2 linked regions of the Cricetulus griseus genome follow. The protein of the gene in region 1 purifies or fractionates together with the protein of each later gene. This does not show direct contact. Links are inferred from orthologs where the notes say so. Each region holds a gene or a part of one and is shown in the gene's direction. Other genes may lie near its edges.

Evidence for each region.
Region 2: the proteins of Camkv (region 1) and Ahcyl1 purify together in Homo sapiens (affinity purification with mass spectrometry; 3 studies listed by BioGRID and IntAct, counting the BioPlex papers as one, with this or other methods). This does not show direct contact. The link is inferred for Cricetulus griseus from reciprocal best matches to the Homo sapiens genes CAMKV and AHCYL1.

What each region holds. Positions count from the first base shown.
Region 1 is NC_048597.1:216,135,818-216,138,210, forward strand, and holds the end of Camkv (caM kinase-like vesicle-associated protein), read left to right. Parts: coding exon 1-290; 3' UTR 291-2,276; downstream 2,277-2,393. UniProt on the Homo sapiens protein: Does not appear to have detectable kinase activity.
Region 2 is NW_023276806.1:49,489,062-49,492,718, forward strand, and holds part of Ahcyl1 (S-adenosylhomocysteine hydrolase-like protein 1), read left to right. Parts: coding exon 1-41; intron 42-961; coding exon 962-1,062; intron 1,063-1,499; coding exon 1,500-1,602; intron 1,603-2,738; coding exon 2,739-2,833; intron 2,834-3,657. UniProt on the Homo sapiens protein: Multifaceted cellular regulator which coordinates several essential cellular functions including regulation of epithelial HCO3(-) and fluid secretion, mRNA processing and DNA replication.

The sequences.
Region 1 (2,393 bases):
CTGATGGGAGCATCACTCCAGCCACTGATGGGAGTGTCACTCCAGCCACTGACAGGAGTGCTACACCAGCTACTGATGGCAGAGCTACACCAGCTACAGAAGAGAGCGCAGTGCCCACCACCCAAAGCAGTGCCATGCCAGCTGCAAAGGCAGCTGCCACCCCTGAGCCGGCTGTGGCCCAGCCGGACAGCACAGCCCTAGAGGGTGCCACAGGCCAGGCTCCTCCCTCTAGTAAAGGAGAAGAGGCTACTGGCTGTGCCCAGGAGTCTCAGGGGGAGAAGATGAGCTGAATGGGCAGCCCAGTGGGGGTTTTGAGGGATGGGAAGGAGGGTGGGAGTGTGGATGAGGGGCTTCTCATTGTATATAGAGTCACTGGCATGATGCCCTAGCTCCCCCCAAGCTCCCTCATCCCAGTGGGGCATGCCTGGGGGCCATGGGAGAGCAGTCTTGTCTCCTGTGTGGATGTGTGTGAGTGGTGGGTAGGCCAGAGGCAGGGCCAGCCCCAGCCCCTGCATGGATTCCTTGTGGCTTTTCTGTCTTTCGCTCGCTTCACCACTTTCTGTTCCTTGTGGGATACTGCTCTAGGGATACTCAGGGGGTCCTTGCTCTCCTTCTCCTTCCCTTCCTGCCTCATCATTTCCCCAGGCAGGCCCTGCAAGTCTCACACTTCCCCTGGCCCTAAATTGGGTGGCCTTGCCCTGAGAGCTGGTCCTCCAGCGAGGCCCTATCAGCAGTGTTAGGCTCCTGCACATGAAGGTGTGTACCTGTGGTGTGTGGGTTGCTCTAGGAGTAGATGCTGGCTGCTAGAGAGGATGCAGAATCTAGGGCAGTGTGCTTTAAGTCAAGTCTGGTCACATGATTGGGGGCACTGCACATTAGCTGTGGGGATCCTCAGAAGTGGGGGAGAGAATTGATAGAAGAGTAGAAGCTTCCGTCTTTTCCCATGGGTAGGCCTTCTGAAGATCCTTGTGTTGTTTCTTGCCCTCCCTAGTCCTGTAGTGGGTTACTCTGTATCCTGGTTCTTATGAAACTCTAAAGAAAAGGAGAAACAATTAGGATGTAGCAGTGGGACCTAGGAGAACAGAGTACAGGACCAGTACCAGGGCCCCAACCTGTCTGGGTCTTTATTCTGAGATAGATAGGGAGGGCTGGTGTTCCCATGGTCTTCCTAGATGCCACTACCACAGGAAGAGATCTTACCCATGGCCACCTCTTTCAGGCTCAGGCCATAAATCCTCTGGCCCTAAATACTCCTCCCAGGGAGGCATGGCAGTACCTCATAGGCTGCTTGAGAGTTTGCTTTTTTACAGTGGCAGATTTTCTGCTCTTCAGCAACATGGAGAGGATTTTCCTCTATTTCTGCTATCACAGGCTGAGGTATCGCTCAGCCATGTTAAGTTGCTCTTCTGGGATGAGGAAGTAGAATAAGATTCCCAGTCTCTGGAAGGATGCTCTTGGCAGGTGCCCTTGGTCCGACCCTGTCACAGCCTGAAAAGGCAGCCACACGCTGGTCCTTGCCCTAGCTCGGCACTCCATGGTGGTCCTGCCCTTCTCCCTGCATGCCTGTGGGTCTGCTCTGGTATGTGAAGGTTGGTGGGCTAACTGTGTGCCTGCTGAACCTGGCAAATAAACGTCACCCTGCAAAGCCTCTGGCCACCCTCTTGCCTTTGCTTCCTCTGTCCTATTGGGGAGGAACCCATGGAAGGCAGTGGGGGAGGAGAGGCTGATGCTCAGTGCATTGCTTAGGGTGAGAGTGAAGGTCACCTTCTCCAGTATGTACCTGGATGATGTTGATGGGGGACCCTCTGGACTCTAGGAAACCATGTGAGTGATGTGCTTCAGCCAAGAACTATCCCCTGAGCTGAGCACTTGAAGGACTGACGATTTTCCAGCTTTTGTTGACTTTGTCTTAACTTGGACATAGAGATGGAATTGACTCAGAGCCAACCACTACAGGGAGAGACCTCGCTCATGGCCACAGTGGGTCTCTTTGGGCTGGGGAGAGGCTAGGATTGCACAAAAGTTCTGTGCTGTATGTTGATGCCTGCTTCCTGTGAATACCTGTGCTTTCCACTTAGACCAAAAAGATTTCACTGTCTTCCCCAGCTGGAGCAGATCTGCTTTAAATATGGAGTCCTGTATGTTTCTTCTGGGGGAGTAATACTAACTATATCATAAAAATCCCTAAGGAGACTTGCTTCAGCTCAGATGGGCTTTGGTGAACTCACCTGGGTTGCCTTCTCAGGGAGATCCTTAAATTATCTGATGTGGGAATAATAAAGAGGGTTTGTTATTTCCTGGTCTTCGAAGCATCTATGCCTCCAAAATCAGTTTCCTACAGCCCTGGGCACGAGGAACCCTGGGAGGTAAGAGCTAAATTACTGGCCCTAGTA
Region 2 (3,657 bases), on another chromosome or scaffold:
GGCAGAGTTTGGACGCCGGGAGATTGAGATTGCAGAGCAAGGTAAAGAAGGAGCAGGGTACCAGAAGCACCCTTTGCACCGCTTATCAGGACCTGGGCAATTTAAGTGTCCTGGAAAAGACAGTTTCTCATTCTTTGGATAAACACTTCTCCCTATGTGGAAACTGAGCTTTAGGATACTTGTGTTTGTTTTCCCTTTTTCTTTTCCCAGTGTATGGTAATTACAGAGTGGTTTCTGTTTTCCTCATCATGACACCCTATTCACAGGTCTACAGGGAGTAGTCAGCAAGTGTTGGATCACAACATAGTGGTTATTTATATGGGATATTTTTTGTAGCTGCCAATACCAGAGAGCCAGATTTCCCAGAAGTAGCTGATGTGGCAGGGTTCTAAGCTAAGCCTTGGGTCTCCTTAAGTCCCAGGCATCCTCTACTGGAACAAAATAAAGGGGAGTGACAACCAACTGAATCTTAGTTTCTCTAGTCTACTACACTACTCCCAAGGGTCTCTGTTCCTGTTTCTTTATATTGAAGGTGTGTTCCATATGGCAAGCTTGACTGGCTAGGGTAAGACAGCAGATAAAAATAGCTGCAAGTGTCTTCCAGTGAAGTCAGTCATTCCTCCTGGTTTGATGAGGACATACGGAAGTCTGTCCATAACTGCTTCCCTCTCCTCTTTATGATTAGGGAGATTCACTGTATCTACTTTGACCAGTTTTGAAAGTTTGGTTCATTCTCCGATCAGACCTTTGTGTATATATAGCAGAAACAAGACCTGCCAATTGCTTACATTATAACTCTCCAGTTACGCCATTGGAGAAGCCTCTAGTCATCAGGAAAGTACATTTGGCATGTTCTACCACATCTCACCATGTCTCAGCAGACCCAACCCTGACTGTGGCTGGGCAGGATCGAATGGTGTTGATAGTGTGGACCTGGCTCAGATCCTTTGTTCTTCCACAGACATGTCTGCTCTGATTTCACTCAGGAAACGTGCTCAGGGAGAGAAGCCTTTGGCTGGTGCTAAAATAGTGGGCTGTACCCACATCACGGCCCAGACAGCGGTGAGTTTGTCGGAAGAAAACAGAGGGACTTCTAATAAAAAAAAAAGGGAAGAAAACATTTTTTTTATTAAAAATAAACATGCCTTTCCTTCCTACCTAGCCAGTCCAATTGCTGTTAGATAGAATAGAACCCCCTGTTCAAACAATGGTGTAGCATGTTTTGCTTTTGTTCATATACTAAACCCATTTTTAGCACATCTGCCTGAGGAGGATGTAAAATGATTATTATAAAAATGTTTTAAGACTTTTAGGAGCATGTCTTTCATATATAGTTAGGTAACTTTGTGCCACACAGCTGAATTATACCTTTGTATAACTCTCCAGTGTAGGGCCAATTGCTGTGAAGTTATAGATACTATGTTCTTGCTGAGGTTTTTGTCCCCTGCACCTGGGTAGCCCCACTCTTCCTCACCCTGTCTTTCTGTATATCCATATAGGTATTGATTGAGACACTTTGTGCCCTGGGGGCCCAGTGCCGCTGGTCTGCTTGCAACATCTATTCAACTCAGAATGAAGTAGCTGCAGCACTGGCTGAAGCTGGTAAGTTCTACTTTTTTCCTACCAGCTTTGCCTCAGGTAATTAAATATATGCCAGAATTGTCATTATGCCATTTATGTCTGGGAACTATAAATTTGGGCAGTCTTAAAACAGCACAGCTGGATATGAAGCTCAGTGATGGACTATTTCCCTGGCATCCAGCACAGAAGTGAATTCCATCCCAGCACCACCAGAGGGGTGAGGAGAACAGGAAGAAATTTATGCTAAAATCAAGGTATCACACACACATACACACACACACACACACACACACACACACACACACACACACACACACACACACACACACACACACACACACACGGAAATGCCCAATTCTAATGTTAAATTGATGAGAGAAAAAATACTGAACTGTGAGTTCAGTGGTGTCTTTTTCTCCCCAAAAGTTTTATCAGTTTTGAGAGAACACTGTAAACAATGTCTTTTATATTGATAGTTAATTGTTTATTTGGTATTCAGTAGTACAGTAAAATGTATGTGCTGATAAGTTTAATTAATTAAAAATAAAATAAATTTTTGTTGTTAAAATATTCAGAAGAACATCGCTATGAAGTTTGAGAACCTTCCACCTTCCTAGGATCTTTAGAAATTCACACTATATATAGAATTTTGTCTAATTCTTTTCTGATAAGTGTTTATAGAAGATTTAGGAAATTCAGAGTAACCAAAGATTTGACAAGCTGTTTCCCTGTGCATTATATTGGTGAACCAAATCTTAGTATGTATGCATTTTTATAACCTAAACATTGCATTTTCAGAAGTAAGTTTACTTCCTCATTGTCCTAGAATTGAACATTTAAATTATTTTGAGATGTCTGCTGATGTCCAGTGCTGTAGAAGGAGCTTTGTTATACATATTTCATTTTACCTCCTTAAGATGCAGTATAAAGTGTAAAATTGGCCTTTCTGGCTTCAAGATACTTCTCAAACAAAAATCTCTTAATTTCTCAATTTCTGAAATAAAAGTACTAATTTGGCTTTTACTTTTTACTCTTTAAGTTTCCCTCTTCAGACTTGTTTGTTTTGCCTTCCGTTCATCACATGGATCTCAGAAAATGGTGCTCATGTTAAGGGACACCTCAAAGGAAAATTAGTTGATTTATTTCTGTCTCCATAGGAGTTGCAGTGTTCGCTTGGAAGGGCGAGTCAGAAGATGATTTCTGGTGGTGCATTGACCGCTGTGTCAACATGGATGGGTGGCAAGCTAACATGGTAATAATTCATGCCATTCAATACTTTTGACTATGGATTTATTTCCTTTTCTCCCTTAAAGCATGGTTCCCTAAGTATATTTTTGTATGTTTGGTCTTATTTATTGACTCTATTGCTAAAGTGTTTATAACACAATACCTACTTGGTATGGGTCTGAGATGCACAAGGCCCTGGATTCAATCTCCAACACCAAAAAATGTAAAAAATAAATAAATGAAAAAGAAAGAAAGAAAGGAAGAAAGGAAAAAGCGCTCTGAATACTCAATGGAAAGGTGGGGGAAGGGTTAGCTTAAGTGGACACATGTCTCAAATCACATCAAAGTAAACAGAAGGAAGGGATGAGGCCCCTCTTTGGAGTAGGAGTCTTATTTCTTTCCTTCCTACTCCAGCTCTCCTTTTGCATTCAAAGGAGCTATATATTTCAACCAGGCTAAAAATGAGTCCATGATTTGTAAAATTTGTTTACTGTAGCTGGGCATGGTTGTGCATGCCTGTAATCCCAGCATTTGAGAGGCTGAAGCAGGAGTACTTGCTCAGGAGTTTTAGACCAGCCTGAGCAACATAACAAGAGCTAATCTTTAAAAAAAAAAAAAAAAAAAAAAAAAAAAAGCTTTCTACTGTAGCCTAGAACACATTTAGGAATTCTTTTAACCACTTTACACCAACAGATTTAACTATATTTCCACTGTCTAAGCCTACTCTGTGGAGCTTTAAGAAGTGCTCTTCCAAAGCATACAGGGCTTTCTCATTAGTGTAGAAAGTGGACTCAAAGTTCCCCCTAGCTCTAGCAGCCTGAATGCCCATAGAAGTCTTCTGGCTGTTCT